3 linked regions of the Schizosaccharomyces pombe genome follow. Changing the gene in region 2 together with the main gene of any one other region gives a genetic interaction. Each region holds a gene or a part of one and is shown on either strand. Other genes may lie near its edges.

What was found.
Region 1: of scr1 (region 2) and sds23, a mutation in one rescues a mutant of the other (synthetic rescue), as found in Schizosaccharomyces pombe (one study listed by BioGRID).
Region 3: of scr1 (region 2) and tup11, changing one enhances a phenotype caused by changing the other (phenotypic enhancement), as found in Schizosaccharomyces pombe (one study listed by BioGRID).

Annotation. Positions count from the first base shown.
Region 1 is NC_003423.3:947,701-954,679, reverse strand, and holds sds23 (protein sds23), read right to left. Parts: upstream 3,904-6,979; 5' UTR 3,857-3,903; intron 3,801-3,856; 5' UTR 3,800-3,800; coding exon 2,573-3,799; 3' UTR 2,388-2,572; downstream 1-2,387. Other genes in the region: origin recognition complex subunit Orc5, read left to right, coding at 404-760, 814-888, 929-1,864.
Region 2 is NC_003423.3:1,748,901-1,757,450, forward strand, and holds scr1 (DNA-binding transcription repressor, glucose sensing, Scr1), read left to right. Parts: upstream 1-3,192; 5' UTR 3,193-4,688; coding exon 4,689-6,386; 3' UTR 6,387-6,719; downstream 6,720-8,550. Other genes in the region: pfd1 (prefoldin subunit 1), read right to left, coding at 7,610-7,772, 7,924-8,090, 8,188-8,196. UniProt on the Schizosaccharomyces pombe protein: Involved in carbon catabolite repression. Represses the transcription of various genes including the inv1 gene.
Region 3 is NC_003424.3:296,891-304,841, forward strand, and holds tup11 (transcriptional corepressor Tup11), read right to left. Parts: upstream 4,907-7,951; 5' UTR 4,822-4,906; coding exon 4,698-4,821; intron 4,631-4,697; coding exon 4,546-4,630; intron 4,522-4,545; exon of another isoform or gene 4,374-4,521; coding exon 2,738-4,373; 3' UTR 2,388-2,737; downstream 1-2,387. Other genes in the region: SPOM_SPAC18B11.11 (GTPase-activating protein), read right to left, coding at 1-1,896; SPOM_SPAC18B11.09C (serine O-acetyltransferase activity), read left to right, coding at 6,271-6,341, 6,444-6,750, 6,826-6,903, 6,962-7,129; protein pat10, read left to right, coding at 7,573-7,645, 7,784-7,841, 7,881-7,951.

The DNA of each region.
Region 1 (6,979 bases), 800 kb from region 2:
GGTGAAGAAGTTAGTATTGAAAGTGAATTAGCTAGGAGAAAGAAAACTTCTAATAACTCAAGCGAAACGAACTTCTGTTCTTTACTACTATTAATCAAATATATTACAAAAAATAAAATTTTATAATTCTATTTTAGAATAACTGTTTAAGCACATTTTGTTACGACAAGGCTTCTCAATAAAATACACCTTGAACCAAGTACAACGCTTATAGTAAACAATCAATTAAGATTTCAATAATTCCAAAGTTTAAATTGTATTTGAAATGTACGAATATTATTCTTCGTTTTCCATTAATTACCTTTCGTTTATTTGTATAAATTAGTCCACTAGTTTTTGCTTCGAGCGATGAATGTTTCACTGCACGACACCATATGCCAAAGCATAAGCATATTGCCATGAAATGCATTTGTATCAGTTGGAAGACGAATTAAAAAAGAATGTCTTTTGCAGGGAAGATCAAATAAAGAAACTTTCATGTTTACTTTTTAATAAGGATTGTCGTGTTCCAAGCATTGTGCTTTACGGAGTTGCTAGTACAGCAAAGACTTTTTTATTGCGGACCGCTTTTGATTTGTCAAAAGAAGAAAATGTTTGGATTAATTTGCAAGACTGTTTTACAGTCGCTCATTTCTGGTACCGGATCCTTATAAAAGTCGGTGTTGACAAAGATATAGCATTAAAAAAAGGCATTAATATCAGTGGATTTATTTATTTACTGGAACAGGCAATGTCCAAAAGGGACTATCATACATTTTTGGTACTTAGTTCCTCTCCTATTTTATTACTCTTAAATACTAATATGAGTTATAGGTGCTGGATCAAATAGATGATTTCGCTGAGGCTTCTACTATTCTATTCTCACAATTAGCTCAGCTTCCGATTGTTGTAAGTAAATATTTACAGACCCACTGATTAACTATTTTAGGCAAACATTCCCAATCTGTCAATCATTTTTGTACTTCATTCTCACCCTGCTCAATACTTGGGAACATTGTCTATTGCAGTGATTTTTTTCCCACAATATACCCAAGCGGAAATATTAGAGATATGCCAAAAAACACCTCCTAATTTAGATTTTTTGGATAGATCTGGCGATAGTGTTTTTGAAGACGAAATTGAGCTCAGCGTCTGGATGCAATATTGCTCGTTTCTTTGGAGTGTTTTTGGAGTGCAGTGCTTAAATGACTATAGGTCTTTTCGTAGTGTTTTGGATAGATATTGGCCAAAGTTCATTCAACCTATAGTTGAAGGAGACATACATCCTGCTGATTATGCTCAACTTCACAAGCTGGCTAAAAACTTTTTAGTGTCAGATGCTACGGTTACTAAAAGACTTCACATAATCAACCCGACTGAAATAAAAAATCTTCTTGATTCCAAATCTATTAACTTGTCGCTCGTTTCCAAATATTTACTCGTTTCTGCATTCCTAGCATCTTATAATCCAAGCCGGTTAGACGCCCAATTTTTTTCATTTTCTAAAACTTCGAAACGACGTGGAAGAAAACGTAAACAAATTCAAGATGAAGGGGTTTTATTTTCCAAAATACCAAGAACCGCTGGGAGCAAAGGCCGGTCTGCTGTAAAAATATCCCAACTTACATTAGGACCTAAACCTTTTGAAGTAGAAAGGTTGATTGCTATTTATTATGCCATTTCTTCCCCGGTAGAGAAAGTTCTGACCGCTGATGTTTTTGTTCAAATAGCTACACTCGCCTCCTTAAAAATGATACTTTCGGCTTCCAAAGGTGTGCTTCGCTCTTTGGATAGCCCTAGATACATTGTCAATGTCTCTCGCGAATATGTATTAAAAATCGCAGATTCACTTTCGTTTCCTCTCGATAGTTATTTGGCGGGATAGCTTAGTATTATGGTTTATTTTATTGCATTACTGAAATTTTGAATATCGTAGTTCTGTCACAATTCATTAATTTATACAGAACTATATGAACATCCATTCTATCTCCCCATAACATGTTATTTTACTGTTTAAAGGGCCCAAAACTTAAAAAACATATTTTTTTTTGTTACTTCTGGAAAATAAAAGAAAATGTACACTACAAACAATTCGATTACGCCTCTGTGATTCTGTGTAAACTGTTACGTATTTAACATTATGGAAGTTGGCAAAGCTGTAAAAAGCAAAAACTAGCGCCGAAAACACTCTTGACAAAAAAATAAAGTAATGTGCTGCTAAGATGGATACATAATATATATCAAGAGGCAAAGTTTCAATCATAACTCTGATATAAAAGTTAACCCTCTGAAAGAGCTACTCTGCTGCCGTGTAAATCAACAACGGGAGACAATTCATTAATAAGAACATATGTATAAAGAAAAGCGTCCGTCAGTTAACGTCAAAACATAAGTAAAAGTATATTTTTAATGGTTAATAAGAAATCATTGGAGATTTAACCAAAATCTTATCCATTTAAAGATGATTAAAAATAAGTATCAAAACCCGTTCATGAAATATGGAATGTTAGAGGTAACAGTAAAAGATGAAATAAAACGGAGGTTCAAATGAGAAAAAGAAAAAAGGGTGTTTCAAATCATCAAATATTTAGCATCACCGACGTTGTGTATCTACACTAGCTTTGCTATGGCTACGATGGCTGCTTGTGCTTCCTCGACGTCCATGTCTAAGCGAAGGAGCACTATGGGGAGCGGGTGGAAGAGTGCCTTTCATGTGAGCATATAAAACAGATATGATATCAGTTAAGCTAACAACGCCCAACAATTGATTGACCTTAACACCACCCATGGATCCAGGGGAAAGATGTGCGTTATTTTTTGGGGAAGGAGGGCAGGAAGGTGACTGCACAAGCCAAAGACGATGACATTGGGTAGCCACCAACTTAGCCAACGTAAAAGCAAAAGTAGAGGATTCATAGATGTTAAAAGCAGGAGCACTATCCTTACCAGCGCGGATACCCTGTTCGCTTTTAATGACACTCAAAAAGTGAGCACATGATTTGTTTAACAAATAGACAGAAGAAGAACGTGTAACGTATTTAACATCAACGAGAGATATGTTGCCAAGTAACCGGAATTGAGCATCGACAACAGCAAGTGAACCAATACCGGTTTGATTCATCTGTCGCAAGGCCGCGGCGACTTTTTGATCTCCAGAGATACAGGTGATGTCAGTGCTTCCAATGTCCAAAGAGTGAATTGTCCTGGACATTAGAGGCTCCAAATCGGGAAACGCACGAATATTATTCCACAAAAAGCGGATGATAGAGCGCTGAGAAGCCATAAAGCTCAATTCACCCTGTTCGTTAGTGACGGCAACACGACGAATACCGGAAGAAAGAATCTCAGCGAGACGTCCAAGGCTGGTGGTGTGAGGGATGGTGATAAAGTCATCCTTGTTTTTCCCGAGTTTTGCAACCTCATAAGCAGTAATGACTTTTCCAGCACGAATATCTTCAGCGACCTTTTTAAACCTGCCATCATTGAAATCATCAAAACCCACTACCATGAGCAAAAATGAGTTAAGATCTGCATAGTCAAAGGTCGTAGCAATCTCGTTGCTTCCCTTAGCAGCAACAATAGGCAAGGCGCTAAGATCTCGGTCGATCAAAATGGAACTTGCCTCTTCCATGGAAGTTTCCGGGTCTATGAGAGCAATTTCATTATCATGAAGAAATGTTACAGGGATATCTTGCCATTTATTTGAAGGAAGATTAGTGGGAATGGGAAATTGTGCCAAAAAATCTGAGACCGAGTTCACGCCAAAGGACTGACGTCCAGCGCTCGATAAAGAATCAGACGATTGAGTTGACAAAGGCATTCTATACAGTTTTCCAGTTAAAATCTCTTTCTTTCCTCTGCATACAACAAAACTTACTGTACCGTGCAGTTTGTCAAATCTAGGTCAGTGTGTGGTTCTGGATAGCGTTGAGGTAGGCAGTGACGGAAGTACCTAGTGATACAACGAAATAGGGGTACGCAGTGGTAAGGCTTTTTTAATCCACGACCTCTTTACCACATTAGACTGAGATCTCTGTAAATCCCGCCGTATACCACCGTCTACCTAATTAATCCACCATGTATGTGGCCTAGTTAAAAATTTCATAATCTGCGATTTCAGTATTTACATCACAATCAACCACTATTTCATTGCTTGCCCGCTTTCATCCCAGCAAGGTAAAACTAGGCAAAAAAATTTTTATTCTTTTTTAAAAATTTAAAAATTAAAATTAAACATAAGGATGGATTTAGTATGAGAGAAAAATAGCCAAGCGGTTAATCGGACGTTTTTCCTTGTTCATAAAGTGGGAAAGTGGGGCAGCTGCTCTAGTTGTAGATGCAGTGTAGGTCGGTTTTGCACAACAAAATCCTAATTTTGTCATTGCAAAAAGGCAAACAAAAATTTGTGTGCAACGATGAAGTGATTAGATGAAACGAGGCGCGCCTATGGAGCAATAAAGCGCTTTGTTTGTTAAAAATGCTTTTGAATTAGAGTTATGGATGAACAAAGTCAACACATTCATATGTACTAAATAATATTAAGACGCAGTATGAAACATACATAATTCAACGTTGCGATACCGAACAGCATCTACCCAATCTTGAAAAAAAAATTAAAATTTACTCTTTATGTTGTTTGATAATTTGGCAGGAGAATAGATAAGTCAAGTCATCAAGTAATTAATTTTATTAGTTAGTTTGAGAGTAATCTCGTACTGTAAGCATAATAATGCATGCTATAATATTGGGTACTCAGTTCTCTAATTATTATACATAGTACTTACACAGATGATCATCATTACCATTGCTTAGCAAAATTGGCAATCATAAACAACAGATATTTCTACCACTGCTATAGCGCTATACATCATTCGAATTTTGAGTGGACTTTTGCTCAAGACTTATTTGTCGAAGAAACGAATGAAAATCCACCCCTTCGTCTAATTTCTCTCCCCAAACATGGAGAAATCAAATCTATGTAATATAGGTTGGAGATGACCAAGTCAGCATTAAATGTTTGATCATCTCTTCACTTAGCAAATCCTATTGAATATCACTCAGTTAATCTCTTGTTTTGATCTTTTTCATTGATAAATGAGTACTAAATACATTACTGCTACGTATTGCTTCGTCTCATATAGTAACGGTGGCCAAATTTGAAGTGCGACAAAATACCATACTACTAGTAATAGAAATTCACATACTGAAACGTCAGATGCGTTTAATAAATAAAGCGCTTGTGTTTTGTTGGCAATTTGTGATTCAACGTGGTAATTAAAAAGTTTCAATATTGAGTAAATGGTCCGCTACAGATCACTCCGGGGAAGAGGTTATTGGGTTACGTAAAAAGACTCATGTGCTGTGGGAATAGCTATTGAAGAACACAAGGTATCGATTGTGTCTCACTCGACGTACCATAAGAAAGTTAAATGGTAAAGTGTGATATATGAAGTGAAAATACAACGTTACTATAATTAGCGGATCCAAGATGTCCAAATGATGATGATGATTGATATAGGAAATGCGATTATGTAGAAGATAAAGTGAATTTCCAAAATATCAAAATTAAAATCGAAAATAATCGAAATAACATATTGATATATATATGTAATTTGAGAAAATAAAATTTAAATATATAGGACACAAATAGACGCTCATCTAGTAGAAGAAATTCCAGCAGTCCAGTTACGGTTTGTAAGAGCATAAAATAAAGTAAATCCATAATTCATATAATAAGTTTTCATCTTGTCCTTTATTTAATTTTATTTTTTATTTATTTTTTATTTTTTTTTTTTAAATTTTTACTCCTTTCATTGATTAATTGTAGTAAAAAAAATCTACAAATTCATCGTCCATTTTATCCTATTCACTCGCAATTCTTTTTGGTAAAACACCCACGTGCGACTTTGTATTTGCTTAACGTACAAACTGCCAGTAGCTTAGTGTAAAAAAAAAATTAAAAAAAAAATAAAAAAAAATAAAATAAATCTATAAATGAATCATTACAAATAACGAATTACCAATTGAAAAATTAGTTAGAGTTTCTTTAATTGATCATTAATACATTATCGAATATTAAAATACGTTGGAAATCTGATATAATGCTGCGCACTTTATTAAACAATGAATTTCCACTAAATACCATAATAGCTTCTGTCTTGTCCTTGCTATGTAAACAAAGCTCAAGCCAAACAAAAACTTCAGGCGCATATTAAACAAGCACTTAACGTTTCGTACTAGATATTCTCTCAATTGAATTAATTGATATACGTTGTAAATTATTTCTATGACATGTACCTACCAGTCTTAAGCAGACATTATTAGATTTTGTCCTTTGTTTAACATATTCTCATGTATAAAATTTCTACATTTCTCTCTCTTTTTTTTTTTTTTTTTTAATTCACCACTTTGTATTGTAACATATTTACTTTCACTAAGTCGGCATTTTTTTTTTCCACATCATTAAACCTTACATCGCTTATAGTCGCTACCCTTTGGTCGGCCTTTCTACCCAAGACTTCGTACATACAGAAATCCTCAAAGACGCTTTTAAAGACTATAAAATTAAACAAGCATCCTTGTTTTTTCTGATATCTCATATCACAACATAATAATCTTAATTTCTCGAGTATCTTTTCTTGAAAATTTTTAATTTTTCTCATCTTTATTTTGTTGCTGCTTCAGCAAGCCAGTTATTAATTTTTGTTTAAAAATATATAAATATTAAATATTTATATATATTATTCCATCTACAAAGCATTACTTATTTTCACATACATATACATCTACCTTCATATACAACACTCACTAGTATTGTGTTAAATTTTATTCGTCCAATATCATTTTGCTACCCTGTTTTTGTGTTTTGTCAAGCATTTTATTCTTTGTTCTCTTTTTTTCCCAGATTTGTCACATTGAACCTACGTCCTTTCACGTTAACGTACTCGGACGCTTTGCTCAAATACTATTGAATTGCTCAATAACGTTATAAATTCTATAT
Region 2 (8,550 bases):
AACAAACCAATGAAAAATTAGGAAACCAATGACAGCATGAATACTCAGGAAAATGAGAGAGAGAAAACGAAATTAAAAGAGGAGAGTGAAGGCACAGTAAAAGGAAAGGGAAACAAAATAACAAAGCAAAGCCAAAACAAAAACAAACGATGCTAGAAAAGAAGAAGGCGCGAAATCAAGGGCGCGCAAAAGAACAATTAAGAGTGTAGAGAAGAAAACGCGTGAAATTAAAAAATAAAAGGAAGAGAGGAAATGGGGAGGAAGGAAGGAGAAAACGCAAGCAAAGTTTGTTGATGTATATAGGCAAAAAGCCGTCGGAGCCAGAATGAGCATTAACGGAGCACATGAGAGGGAGACAAACCTTGTTGAGTGGAGAGTGGAAGGAGGGAAATGGAGGAAATCGTTAAATGGGATAATGAAAGAGAGAGAGAGAGAATAAGAAAAAAGAGCGAGGAAGAGTGGAGTGGTTGAGGGGAATAGTGGGGTGAAAGGAGGAGGAAGGAAGAAGGAAGGGAATGCAGGGAGTGATCGTTAAAGATTTGGAAGAGAGTGGTTGAATGAAACGGTGAATACGATAGTGAAATAGAAGGAGTCGATATGAGACTACGTGGATTGTCTTGTCTTACTAGTTCTAGGTAAACATCTGTAGCAAAAGATTGGTTCCTGCTGTTTGAAAATCATTTCATTTATTGGAGAATACGGTGGAGAAAGGAAGATCGCTAATAAGAAAAGGGAGAGGAAATTATCATAGGTTATGTTTGTTTTATTTTACATTGATCTATTGAAAGAAGGAGGTGCAGAGCGATTCTTGAAAAGGTCGTTTACGGTACTATGTTAGAAATTGTTAATGAATCTATTGGAAAAAGAAAATCACCCCAAGCGCTAACAAGTTGAAAGGAGCAGGCAAGAGAGAGTGCAAGGCAATAGACGGATGCAGAGTTGTGGCAAAGGAGGTGCGGAAGGAGCAGTGCGGTGAGGTAGAGAGGTCGAGAAAGCGACACTGTTGTAATAGGAAGAAAAAGGAGTGTTAGGGATGGCAATGGCCGAAGAAGCAAAAAAATAAACAAACAAGAAAAAGAAAAAGAAAAAAGACAAAAAGACAAAAAGAGTAGGCAATACACATGAAGAACAAATGATAAAATAAAAACTAGACTACGAAATAAAAAATAAATACTGAACTGTGAAATAAAAACTAAATTATGAAATGAAAAAATAATAAAATAATAAAATCAAAAAAAAAAAAGAATAATCATAATAAATGATAAATTAAATTTTTTCTTTTTTTTTTTCTTTTTCTCTTTTTTTTTATTTTTCTCATTTTCTGTCTCCTTTTTTAATTTCTTCAACCTGTCACATCATGAATATTGCTGCTGCCTTCTTTGCAGTCGAATGAAGAAATTAAAAAAATTTCTTTCCCACTAATGATGCTCCAATTGGGGTGGTAAAGGTTTGAGGGATGAAAGAAAAAAACAATTTTTTTTTTGCTGCCGATGTAGCGACGGAGGAATCTGTCACAGCAACAGCAACGATAGTAGTATTCCATCGTATTTTATCCCATACCATCATCATATCTCGTCCATTGTAGCTAGTAATAACACAATGATCCTATATGATTTGAATCAATACTGAGTGTGCTAGATATACACTTATACTTTTTGCTTCACTCTTAAATTCTCACTTCTCTTAAATGTTCACTTCTCTTAAATTCTCACTTCACTCTTATACTCTCACTACTGTAGTTTTTACTACTACAGTATTGATTACTACTACCAAATAAGGGGTATTTTCTTCCTACTGTAGCATAGTCTATTCTACTCTACGCTTCACTGCACTGCACTGCAATGTATTACACAAGCAAAATCATTTAACAGTCCATTTCTCTGTATACGCTACAATGCCTTATGAATGTTTAACATTTGACCAAGAGACTGTGTTTCACAGCACTTGGGGTTCCCCCACTTGACGCCTTGGGCTAAACACTGGGGGGGAGAGAAGGAGGGGGTTTGCATAGGGAAGAGGAAAAGACGGTTATGTTATTGCTTGATTAAGGAATTTCTTGTTTTATGGTTTCCTTAGTAAATGCCGCCATTCGGTGACCTCCACCTTTGGTGTCGAGGTTGAGTTTTCTAGATAAATAAACAAGGATGCTACGCTCGTCATCGCCGCTCATATCGACCCTTTTCAACAAGTTCTGGCTTGGACGAGTTTGTCCAGTTTAGGGACTCTCCGCAGCTTAATAAATTTGACTCCCGGAGGAATCAGAAGATGACGTTGACAAGAAAAAGCGGACACATTAGGGCTAAAAAAGCCAAATCGCCAAAAGTCTCGAATGGGGATGCGTTGCGATGCGATAAATGAGAATTACGAGTCGCAGTACAAGCACGGTCGAGAGAGAGAGAGAGAAAAAATGCAGTAGGAGGAAATAGAGAGACGAGATAAAGCGACAATATAAAATTCAAATAAAAAGACTTCGAAAATGGATTCAAGATTGTAAAATATGCACAATCATCAAAATAATTACCCAATTCATCTTTACAAGAATATTCAATTCATCTTTACATTATCACTATAATCATAACCACAACTTTAACCATCAAAACAATACACACCAACAAGAAAAATTCACTAAATTCTACCACCTATACATATTTAAAAAACAAACAAACAAACAAATACCAACACCAACACTTATATTTCATATGCTGTTCACCTCTGGTATTCCTCTTGTCTATACCTCTTCTCTTCTTCTCTTCTCCTCTTCTTCTCTTCTCCTCTTCTCCTCTTCTCTCGTCTAACTTTGCTTCACCTTGTTTTCTTACCTCTCCCCTTCCTCCTTCCTCCTCCCTCTCCTTCGCTATCTTCTCCTTACCCCACACCTCCCCACCCTCTCTATCCTTCCTTTAACCCCCCATCACCATTGCCCTCGTTAAGTTACTTTTTAGACTTCTCTCGTTAACCTTCATCCTTTCGAGCGCTCCGCCTTTCCACCTCGCCCATCTCCTTCCCCTCCTACCAGCAAGCGCCACCATATTTCTCTATCGACTGCGTTATTCTGAATTACAAAGTGGATCCCTTCCTCGTGCTCCTTTTACCCCTCCCTTTTCTCCAATTTTACCATATCGCAACTGCACTCGAATACGTAACAGCATATATATATACGAAACGTACCGCCCGGAGATCACTCCCCTCCTCGAGTATTTAGCTAACCCACACCCCGCGTTTTTCATTTTTAACCGCACACCACACCACCATACTCAAAGTAAATCAAGCTCCACCGGTAGTATCCCCATACTACCAGTGTGTGACAAAGTGAAAATTTTTTAATTTCAAGGCTTCAAGACTTGTTTGCTTGCTTTCTTCCATTTGACTTGGGTTTTCATAGCATTTCCTTCAGTTCTCTGCGTTGCCTGCTACTTTGGGATTTCCTTAGAGTCGTAAATTTTTTTTTTTCTTTCCCAATTTTTTCAATTTTCTCTTTTCATTCTTCCTTTTATTATTATTTTATTTTTAGTTTTATTCTATTTTATATTTTTCTCCCTTTCCTTTCTTTTCCTTCATTCTTCTTTTTTGTTTGTGGGTCTGTTTTTATTCTATTTTTTCCTCTTCTACTTCTTCTGTATTTTCCTTACATCCAACTTTGGAAAATCTCATCCATCCGTCTTACATTGCCTCGACTTTGTATCGACTGTTTTTTTCTCACCTCATCTGCTTTGCTTTGCTTTGCATTTTCGGATCTCAATCCGGTTCCTGTTGTATTCGGTCCGTTAATTTTTAAATTTGTCGCCTTCTCGCTACATCATTCCTCTCTTCGTTCGATCGAGGGATCCGTCTTTTTTCTTTCGTCAACAAATTGACTTGTCTATTCTTCCTCCTCTTTCTCCTTTTCTTTTTTGTCCATCCATTAGTCCTTCTGTGTGTTCGTCTTCCATTGCCACTCACATAATCGTCTTGTTGGATCCTTTTTCTTGACTCCCATTCAATCGCCTTTTTTTTATCTCTTCGTATAACTTGTTGAAAGTTTGGCTGCTTTTTTCTTTTTCAAGCTTTCTTCCTCTTCGTCCTATACTTTACTCCGCCTTTAGAAGCTTTCTTCCCATCCGCCATATCTATATCTATTTTATCTATTATTATATATAGGTGATCTTGTTATATTGTTTTCCTTTTCATTGGTTCCTTCATTGGCATTTTCTATCAATCTCTCTTCTTCGTTTACATTGCCTTCCTCCTCGTAAACATTTTCCTTTTTTGGCTCTCATCTGTCCAACAAAGGATCCTGCTTATTCCTCTTTTTTACTTCAATTCTTTTTATTATTATTTACAAAGTTATTTTTTTCCCAAGTTGTTTTCGTAATCTTTGGAACTTTCGTTTGGGCTCCTTTGAAGCATTCAACTATATAACTTTGAATTTTATTTTTTCCAATCCTCTCTCATCGTTGAAATTTCTTCTCGTTATTAACTAGAATTCCTCTAATCTTCTTTTTTTTCTCTTCCAGCGATTTTTTTTTATTATCTTCACTATTACTATTATTATTATTATTATTATTCATTTTTTTCTTTAAACGGTCGTTTCTTTCTCTTTCTTGGGTGAAATAAGCTATTTTTTATTAAATACTACCCTTACTCGTGCTATTTTTTTCTTCTCTTTTTTTACTTCTCCTTCTTTGCCGTGCTCTGTTTATTACTTCGTCATGTCCGAAGCCACCACTGCCACAACAACCGGTAAGCCATCCCGCTCTACCAAGAATCCTGACGCTCCTCGTCCTTACAAATGCCCACTATGCACCAAGGCCTTCTATCGTTTAGAGCATCAAACCCGTCATATTCGAACGCATACGGGTGAAAAGCCTCATGTTTGTACTTTTCCTGGGTGTGCCAAACGATTCTCTCGTAGCGATGAATTGACGAGACATGCACGCATCCATACAAATGCAAACTCTAGAAGGAACGCTGCTGCTGCCGCTGCCGCTAATAATTCTGCTAGAAGCTCCAATTCTCCTGCTGGCAATTTAGAACCATCTACAAACAATGCTGGTGTGCATATGACCAATGCTTCAATGAATCCTAATGTGAATCCTTCCTACCCCGTGTTCATTCCTCAAGTTGGCATGTCGGTTGCACCTCCCGTCGCCACTGCCGCCGTTTCCATGAGTTATCCTCACCATTACTCGGCTTCAGTGCAACAACAACAAGCTACTTTCGTTAGTAATGGACAGCCTCACAACCTACCCGCTCAAGCTCAACCTGCCACTATCTACGGTATTCCCGATGCCCTTCATACCACTCAAAATGGTACTACAATCCATGTTACGGGTACCCCTCCGGGTGCTGTTTCTCAACGCTCGGAACCCGATTCCAGATTGTCGTCCATGAACGAGATGCAATTGTTGGCTTCAGCGGCTGCTAATCAATTGGATGCTGCCCCTAGAATCACTCCTACAAAGTCTTCGGGTGTTAATTTAATGCCTTTATCTAATGCTCCTTCCCCACCGAAGCAGATGAATGTAGTAGGTAGTCTGCCATCATCATCCAATACTTCTCCTAATCATCTCGCATCGGTTCCCAATAGAGGCTTAACTTCTAACTCATCCACTGGTTCATTTACAAAGTATACTAATGGCTCGAGCAACTCTTTATATAGTAATTCGTCTATGCAGACTCCCTATCTGCCTAGCAAATCTAACAGTAGTACTAGCCTTCATTCAATGTATGGCGTTGGTACTACGGCTTACGCTCCTCAGTCTTTACGTTATGCCCATTACAACTATTTGCCTTATTCTCGACCCAGCGTATCCAATGGCTTTGATGATGATTCTTCGTCAAGTGATTTTGCCCATTTCCGATACCAGCGTCGCTCTCGCCCGGTTTCCCCCTGCAGCACTGCACCGAGTAGTCCTACCTTTTCCACTAGGAGCTTTAGTCCCACCCCAGACGTCACACCTCTCGTTACACCGGCACATTCTCCTCGTTTGAGACCCATGGATGATCCATCTTGCGTTCAATTACCTTCTATCCGCTCGCTTTCTCTACGACCTTCTCAAGTTCCGTTAATTCCTCCTTTGAAGTGTGATCCTAACGCCTTTTCCGCGTCTACACCAGCCTCTGGTGCTGTCTCTCGTACTCCATCGTCCGTCTCTCTGAGCTCGCTCTCCAACGTTAATAGCAGCATGCCTCACAAACCTGCATCCCAGTCGAATGTTGGTCCAGTCCGTATATCATCGAATCGACGATCACGCAAGTTCTCCTCTTCTTCGCGTGTGAGTGTCAGCAACCTTTTGGCCGGATCACCGCCATCTCCTTCTTCATCCACAAAGTCGGCGTCGTCTTCCTATTCCACCACCACACCGGCATTTTCAATAGGGCCGTTAACTCCTATGACCAAGCCCTAACCCAATATTTGCGCTGTGAACGCTAGTTACCTTTGCTTCCTTTAAACCATCTAAACACCTTGGTTGTGTGTTATGCTATTTTATAAATTAAGTATTAAATTTTTTATTAGTATCATGAGTCTCGACATTTGAGGTTCCATTGTTCAGTTTTTCTTTTTTTTTTTGTTTTAAATTTTTTTTAAACTTCTTGGCATATAATTAGTAATGTTATTTTGTGTTTATTAGACTGCTTTCATAGGTGAAAATTTATGTTATATGTTTAAATTACTTCTTGATCAGTGTATGGGTACAATAGACCATAAACTAATAAAGTTATTTTTTTTTACCGATGGTGTTTAATCCTTTTTGCTTTTATTTAGCTAAATTTATTGTATATAAAGTTGTCTGCAGATCTTATCAAAAAGTTGAACTGCAGGATCTACATTAATGACTTTAACTAGAACTACAGCAAATTACCATCATAATTTAACGGCAACTTCACAATTCGTATATAGAATTATTATTTTAATTCAGAAACAAACATCTGATATGAGAGACCTTCAAGTCCTAATATTGTCGCCATAGTTAATATTAATACATTACTACATACTTTGTTAAACAATGATTAGTGACAGTTCGTTTCGGATAATTTTATTCATAAACTATAAGTAAGCTATAAACTATTCCTTGTGCATCTCTCAAAAAGAAATCAGAAGTTAATGGAGAACAAAACAGCTTCCACACAGTTAATGATATCCTTGAAAAAATATAGAACACCTTAAAGTATGGGTCAGTAAAACAGCCAACACAAAAGTCAGACAAACAGACGTTGAAAAAGAAAGAAACAAAAGGGAACGAGAAATCTCAGACTGACGTGCAAATCAGATGGAAAAAGTTTCAGCATACGATGCTCAGTTGAACTATGCTTTTTTGGAATCATCAAAGAAATCCTTTCTCCATTTACTTTTCCAAACGTCAATTCTAACAGTAGAAAACTTACCTTAAAAGTATAACATATACTAAATTCACAAGTCTTCAAGCTTGAAATTTAAGTATCCATACACAAAAGCGCAGTCACAGTGATCAAAATTTCGGCTCACAAATGCCCCAGTATTTGTTAGAAATGCAAGAAGATTAATGGAACAAATTTACTTTAATTCTACAGTTTTAAAGATAAAAAAGAAAGTCATAAACTTTCCAATCCCATAATCCAATTTACCAATGAGATGATTATAATTGATGTTTTAAGAAATCGACTCTTTTATCTTTTGTAAATGCTGCTCAGCATTTGAGGCCGTTGTTTCGTGATATGTTTGTTTCTTTTGTAGTGCTTCAATATCTTCTCTTAAACTTGCCATTTCTGCGTCCAAATGTGTACGTACGGAAGCCAAATCGGATTTCATAAACCTGTAAATAAACAGTTAGTAAATGACTTTACATATAGATTGACAGTACGGTCAATTCCATTCCAAAAGTGCTGTTTTTGCTAATTCCGTATTCTTTCCCTATTTTTATAGAAAAGAAAATAAAAATACATGTTTCATTTTATGACACTTACATCTTTCCAAGAGAAGTATATACGGCCTTATCTTCTCCAACATCCTCTAACTCTTTTTTGGCTAATTCACTTATTTTTAGTGCCCGTTCCTTGGCAGCAATCTGTACCATTATGGTCCTCAGTTGTTGCTGTGAATCAACCGCTTTCTCTTGTATTTGACTAGCTAACTAATATGCCCAAAGCTCATTAGTTTACCATGTAACACAGTTAAAAAGAGGGAAATTCCTAACAAAATAATTCTCTTCTCAATGATGAAATACGTACATTTTGCATTATTTAAAGGAAACTTGGGTATATCTCAAGAACTTATTTTTTTTGGATTGAATTGCTCTTTCCAAAATTATGGTACAAAGAATAGTCCTTTTAATACTTTTTTTATAGACAAATCAAGAACTTTTTCAATATATTTGAATATACCACCTTTACAAGTATATCAAGTCTTAGGCAAAATGTTGGTTAGGCCTTAAGTACAAAGCTGGCATGTTACAAGCTACTTTACACTGCTTTTATTATCGGTACGTTTCGCAAATGTGAATTACATAATACGCCACAATTTGTAATAAATATTTTGTGAAATGTTTTGCCATATCCTTAAGTTCTTCCTTACATAAATTGTTGGCGATGGCG
Region 3 (7,951 bases), on a different chromosome or scaffold from region 2:
AAAAGGGTTATGCCATTGCGTACTATATACAGATATTAACTCTAACTGAGCGGGAGACAAGTTAACAAAACAATAGTCATTAGTGTTTATTCGTAGTTGTAATAATAACTTCAATACTGGAATTCGAAAAGTACGTCGAATTTTGAAATCACACGAAATTTCGACCAACCCATCGTAAAGCACTGATTTAAATTCGGGTAGCAAAACATAATAAAATGTTAAGCTTACTATTGCCTGAATAGATCTAAGTTGTAAATCCCCATTACTGCTGTTATGAGCATAAAAGCATAATGAGTCTTTCACCTCGTGAAATACATTCGATGGATATATCCAAGATAAATCACAAACTAAGGAAATAACTTCATCAATTATAACTTCGGAACTAGATTTATCCAAACTTTTCACTAAGGGACAAAGCATTCGAGCATACACTTCAGGGCGAAGTTCAACTGGACAAGCAAATAGAACTTTTCTAAAGAGACCAATTAAGTAGACATGGAAATCCAAAGAAAAACTAGTATCAAAATAAGATTTAAGTAGAATTGTTTGATCCTCAAGCCATCCTTCCGAATATGGCAACTGTGATCGTAAATCAAGAACAGTAAACAACTTTTGGCTAAGTGTAGGGGTTAAATATGAAAAATTAATTTTCAGGAACTCATGAAACTTCTCTAGAACAAAATGATTAGAGTCTGGTTTTAAAATTTCGTTAAATAAAAGAAGATGTTGTAATTGATACGATGCAATAGACTCAATTATATTAGGCTCAATGTGCTGCCAAGTTCCAGGTCGGTAATTGAGAGATTTAGGAAGTGATGAAGATATTTCAACAAGCAAATCTAAAAGGCTGATCCATTCATCTGCATAAAGCACTTCAACAAAAGAACGGCGCTCCAAAGCATTATATAAAGAACGAGTGGTTTCTAAAGCTATTCGACTAGATTTATTCTTTAAGGATCTTTGAAGGAATCCAAGCAGCATTCCTCTAGTGCAATACACTGATCTAGGGATATCGGTAAAGAGAGCACTCACGATTTGAATACCACCCATAATCGCTATATAAGAACCTTCATCTGTCTCTTCCATTATCCGTTTTAGGGAATTAAGTGCTTCGTACTTGGTCGCTGTCTTCAACAGTTTCTCAACAATCTGCTGAGCTGATTGTGAGCTTGCGACTAAGCCAAATTTTGCTCGACATACTACTTCAACAATAGAATACAAAACAGCGGAAGATATGCGACCATAGGATATAATACAATTTAATAACGAAAAAACTAATGCAATGTCTTCTTCATCGGTGGTGCTTTTTGAGACCCACACACAATTCGCTAGCATAGAAGAAACCTCCATTTCATCAAATAAATTAAAGCCCACCCTGAACATATTCGTAAGCAAGAGAATTATCTGACGAAAACAACGGGTGTAATTTCTCAATTCAGCACTTCCTTTGAAGGATTTTCTCGACTGAGCTCGCATATCATCAATAATCGTAAATAAATCAGTCAACCATTCAGACAAAACTTTAAGTATGTCATTTGAAAAAGACTCAGTTCTTTCGCCTTGGGATGTAATAACAATCAAGGCGTCTACAGTAGCAGGATAGTATTCAGAATTCGGAACCTTTGACAGCTCGTTGAATAATAGTGCACGGTCATCGGAAGACATTTCTTTATGCTTTTCAGCTGCATGAGTCCATAAGGAAATAGTGGCTGCCAGTATGTTTCCGTGAACTTTATTTTCAATAATGTCTTTAGTGGAATCAACAAGTTTTTGTAGGATTACATTTTTACAAAACTGCTCATTGTTGATGAGCCTTTTTATGCGTTTGTAGCGTTTATCCAATGACTGTTGATTCGATATTTGGGTGAGAATCGTGTCTATATCCAAAGCCTTCATAGCTTAGATATAAATCGATGCAGCAAACAACGACAATTTTTCTTTAACCCAAACGTAATATAGGTCCTGGGTTGGCACCGATTTAAGTATTAAGATTTTAAATATATTTAAAAAGTGCTAAATTAAAGATTTAATGAAGTAAACCCAAATTATAGACTGCTTAAGCCGTGGAGGATTATTATAAACTCCTGAAAAGATAGCCTTAAGAAACGTGCAGATATCGAACTGTAACGGATTGTAAAAGCACACCTCAATATAGCATCGATTAGGATTTATTCAATTTCTATGTTTTAGTCAATAAAATCGAAACAATGAGTCTTCTTCGCGTTGAAGAAGTCAGAAGATGGTTAATACATACATAATTTTAGCGAGTATATGATAAATCTGTTGGTGAATTTCGGAGTCAAGGTGGAGATATGCAAATTACTAAATACAAGAATAACCATTTAAAAAATGTTTAATCAACCACATGTATTTCAAGAATCTACATTGAAAAGTATTAAGTATTATCTCAAGTTATGCAACATTTATCATAGAACTAAAATTAAAAATTAAGGAATTTTTTATTAATTGTTTATTTTTTAAATAAAAAGTGTCTCAGTTAATTTATGAGAGAAGCCATTCTCCAAAATTAGTGACATTAAAAAACTGAGTGATGATTTGTCTATTGTGACCGTAAGTAAAGGAAATAATATTGCAAAAAAAATATGATACAAATTAAGGAAATATACCAGTGTAGTAATAGAGTTTACAAAATTTAGTTTGTAAACTTTGTAACCAAAAATCAATGCGGTTAACTATTTCCGAGAGCAAATAGTTATATGTAAACAGGAACAAAAATTCAAGGAGATGCAGGGTCAATTGACCATATGCGAGCACGTAAATCACCACTTCCCGAAGCAAATTGCCTACCATCTGGGCTAAAGCATACGGAAATAACTGAATTCTTGTGTCCTTGACAAGTGAGATAAGATTGGCCTGTTTGCAAATCCCAGAATTGCATACTTCTATCCTTCGATCCGCTTAATCCCCAACGGCTGTCGGGTGAAACAGCTACTGAAAGAACAAAATCAGTATGTCCTGTATAGGTGGCTTTGCAAATACCTTCAGGCTTAATAGCTGAAAGGCCAACTGAACGAGTTGCTTGTAATTCCCAGACTTTGATAGTCTTATCAAGACTTCCACTAAGAAGAATGCTGCTGTCGGGCGAAAAGGCAATAGAATAAACACTCTCCTTATGACCTTCCAATCGTTCAACCAAAGTACCCGACACAGACCATACTCGAATTATCTGATCTAGACTACCAACTGCAATGAATTGATCATTTGGAGAGATGGCTATTGCCGTCACACCATTCTCAATTTCTAACTTTAAAATACATTGACCTGTCTCCACATCCCAGAGTCGTGCAGTTCGATCGCCACTACCAGAGACGATGAATCGCCCATTATGGCTAAAATCTAAGGAATAGATATCTTGTTCATGACCTGAAAATACGTAACGAACTTTTTGAGTTGAGAGATCCCAGAGTTTTATTTGACGATCTTCTGTTCCCGTGACTAAATACTTACCATCAGGGCTGAAAGCAATGGTTCTCACATACAAATCACGGGAAGGATCAGGTGATTCTTCATGCAAAGTAAAAAGTTTTTTGCCAGTCTGAACATCAAAGACATTAGCGGCCTGGTTACAGCCAGTTGCTAAATACTTGCCATTGTTACTAAACTTAACGCAGCAAACAACACTGGGATGCTCTAGTGTGTGCACGAGATTAATATTAAAAACCCTTTTGCATGCTGGGTTATAAGTGACGTACCAACTCTGAGAAGTTGTCTTTCTAGCAGCTTCTGTATCTGAAACTGGAGCAATCTGTTCTCTTCCCTGATATTCTCCATCAGGACCCGCTTGGGATATAGAACCAGCATTCGCAGAAGCAGTCATAGAAGGTTCAGCCGAAGGAGTTGCTTTGGTAGGAATACGCGGTGGCTGGACATTCACAGCAGGTTTTGAAGTAGCACTTGGATTATAATAATTGGAAACACCAGGCAATTGAGGATTTGGTTGTTGAGAAACCTGATTTGCTCCGTAATTAACAGGAGGGATATATAAAGGTGTAGTACTAGGTAAATTGGATGTAGATATCGCGGGATTTTGAGAAGCAATTCCCTGATTAAAATTTTGCCCGCTAGAAGCCTCTACTGAAGGAGGAATTGGAGGCATCAATACTTCAGCAACATTATTTTGAGGATAAGCTGATTGGTGAATTGGAGGGATTTGCTGAAAGGCAGGTAGATGGTTACTTGGAGGCTGAGAAGTAGATTTGGTTTGAGAGGGATGTTCCTGATCAATATGGGTAACTTGATTATTAGAAGCGGCAAGTTCAGATCTTTCTCCACGATTTCTATAACTTGCGGTATTCGCTTCGACACCTAATTCTTCAAGCTCTCGCTTCAACTTGTTGATATCTTTTTCGTACCTATAAATGTTAGTAAATTGGTGAAGACAGATGTTATAAAGGTTTTTTTTTTTTTACTTCAAGCATATAAATCTCGAGCGACACGTATGCTATTATAAAATAATGATGAATTTCACAGAAAAGAAGTAGATACTATATAATCCCTCGATACCTTTAACATATAAAAACTTACGTTTCTCTAATAGATTTTTGTTTTTCATACATATCATCCACGGTTTTTCGGAACGCTTCAATTTCTTGAATTTGAGATTGTATCACTGCAATAGAACAGAATGTTAGTTTCCAAAAAATAGCTAATTTAATTTATTTTATTCAAACACGTACTAGAAGATTCATAGTCGTTTCCGCGCGCCTTGGACGCGAAGCTATGATGAGCCAAAGCATTGTATTCAGCCTTCAACGCATCCAGCATTTCTTGAACTTTCGTGGCATCCTCCACTGACGCCATTTTTTTTTTCAGTCAGACTTATTGCAAAAACTGAATCCGATTGATATACGCCCTTTTACAACAATAGCAACACTTGAATTGTGGTACAAGAATAAACTTGTGTTCTTGAACGTTTGTAGCAGCACTTTTATCGAGCGGCTCCTTGTGCTGCGCTAATCTTTAAATAGAGAATGTGGTGCTACATATTTTTGGTTGAGCAAGTATCACAAAATTAGTATGGCGTGTGTGTTGGCAACTTGTCCCAATTATTTTGAAATTCATTTGAATTATAGAGAAAAGCAATTCGAAACCCTTTACTGTTTGATTTTTTGTAGCGTTTATATTATTTTTTTGAATATAGATTTTCTTGCTTTTCAGTTGATGTTTGTTATAAAAAAATAGTTATAACTTTGAAACGTAGTGTAATTCATTTTTTTTTTATTGATGGAAAAATTTGTTAACCGTTTTTATATATCAATATAAAAAAATTAAAATTTGTGTTTAATCAATTTATTATCTGATCCTTGTTTAATTAGATTGTTTACCGACCTTTGTAAGACATTATTACAGTGAGTTTTATCTTGATAAGTATTAATTAAAAGTTATGATAGTATTTAACCCGTAAATTCACATTTCATTTGCTAATGACTCAGTTAATCATAAGTGACATTATTTGTTTAATGATGCGAAATTTGACGCACTTTACTGATATTAAAACATTGTTGGTTGTCTTAAAGATGCTTTTTTCATATAATCTAGTTATCATGAAGAAGGATGAAAAAATCCCATAGTTGAAATTTATTAACACTAAAGCAAAATGTTTAAGCGCAGCAAACCGAAGCCGTCAGAAATTGAGCATTTAATCTGACACGATATGCCATTTACACTTCAAGGGCGATTAATAAATACACTTTGGATTTATTTTTAAATCATATTTATTGCTTATTTACTTATCAATTTTTGTTTGATGTACTATTTAAGTTGTTTTGAATTTTTTTTTTATATGACATTAGTTTGGGATTACTACCCAGTTTAATCAGTTTAATGATACAGGAGGAAAGCAAGATTAAAAAAGGGACGGACAACGTTCATTGCATATCTTGTTATTGCTTGTCAGTTTACGGCCCTCAGCGTTTGTTAAGCTACACTAACTATTTACTTGTAACTTGATAAATTTTGGTATGCTGGTGGTAATACGAGTAGGGGCCAGACATAAAGCAATGCGACAATTAATGATATGTTGCATAGTGGGGCATAATGTAGTGTAACAGCTGACGCTATATATCATCGAGATGTTTTTACTTACGTTTTACAAACTATTTCACTAAAAAGTTTCCGTATAGTTTTATCAGCAATTTGTTAATATTGATATCAATACATATATATATATATATATAAGTCTATTTATACATCGATAACTCTACTAGTCCCATTGTCAATGCTAGTGAATATACTTGTTTTCCGACAGAAATGACTCGTACTCGTGTACAAAAAATGATACCGAAAACCATTGAATACCAAAAAATGATATCTGGTCAACCGTAAGGCTAATGCTTAAAACTTGTCGAGCTAATATATCATCTTCGTTGACATGTTTGAAGTCACATTGAACGCAGGGAGATATTCTAATTACTAAATAACAGGTACAAGGCTTACGACGAGGAGTTGACTCAAGCGAGATGTAATGCTAAAAAATTAATGCGAAGGTTTAATGACACTATGGGAGATTTGGAAAATGTAGGCCCAGCAGAATTGATTAAAAGACGAGCTGAACTGTTGGCTGAAGTTTTTGTATTTGACGAATCTTCAGCACCAGAGATTGAGCCACCTATGGCTTTTGATTACGGATTTAACGTTCATTTTGGAAAAAAATTCTTTGCAAATTATAATTGTACATTTCTAGATGTTGCCATAATTACTATTGGTAATAATGTAATGCTAGGCCCCAATGTATGTTTATATATATATATAGTTACTTTCAAGTCATTCATTCAAAAAATAAATATACTAATGGTGTCTTTCCAGGTTCAACTATGTACAGCAACACATCCCTTGGATTTTAAAGCAAGGAACTCCGGAATTGAATTTGGTTTACCAATTAACGTATGCGTTAGTCCAGTTATTGAAACATCTTACAACTAACAAACAAAATTTTATCAAGATTCAGGACAATGTTTGGATTGGTATGGGAGTTATAGTTCTCCCAGGTGTTACTATCGGGGAAGGCAGTGTAATTGGAGCGGGTGCTGTTGTTACAAAAGACATCCCACCTAATACGTTGGCTGTAGGATCACCTGCCAAACCTATTCGTAAAATTGAAAACGAGTGAACGAGTGTAATTTTTTTTTTTATTATTTCATCTAACGATTAAATGCTCTTTGAACTTCTTAAGTTCACCTGGCTTGGTTCCTAAATTTTTAAAATAGTATAAATAATATTATATTATGTTTGAGCTTTAAATTGTTATATAGAAGACTTAGAATGCTAAAAGAAATCCATTTCTCACTCGCCAAGTAGGATCAGTTTCCTCCTATGACTTGCTAAAGCCCCCACGTGGTACTGCAATCGATTTTAATTCTAATGCTTAGCCAAGTCTAAAATAGTTGAAATTCTTAGTGGGATAAGAACTCTTAACCCCCACGATATATTTGAATGCTAAATAACCTAACCTAAAACCATTTTACACATTTTATTACTAACTTCATTATATTCTTGTAGAGGAACCATCCCATTCACCAGTTCTGAAGTCTCGACAACGAAAATTCATAAAATATGGCGCCTGCAGAACTTAAACGACCTGATTTAATCGTTCCCTACAAAGCTAGAGTCAAAGCAAATGAAGAAGGTAAAGTAGAAAGCACTTTCAAATTGAACCCAATCGTGAGTTACGCTGATTTAATCGCTCAAGCTTTAGTTCATTGTGGAATATTTTAAATCCTTTCTTTCGTCAAATAATTTATTAAGTTTGCTAACCCTATTATAGTTGGCTTGAGTTTGGTAAGCACAGCCACGTGTATGGCTGCTTTATTTCTTCGTTTCAAGTATGTAAGATATTTTAGGATTTTCATGTTAACGAGAAGATTAATTGCATGGGTTGCTTTTATCCTAACCTTTTCAAATTTACTGAACGCAAATACGTCTCCCAGCTCAT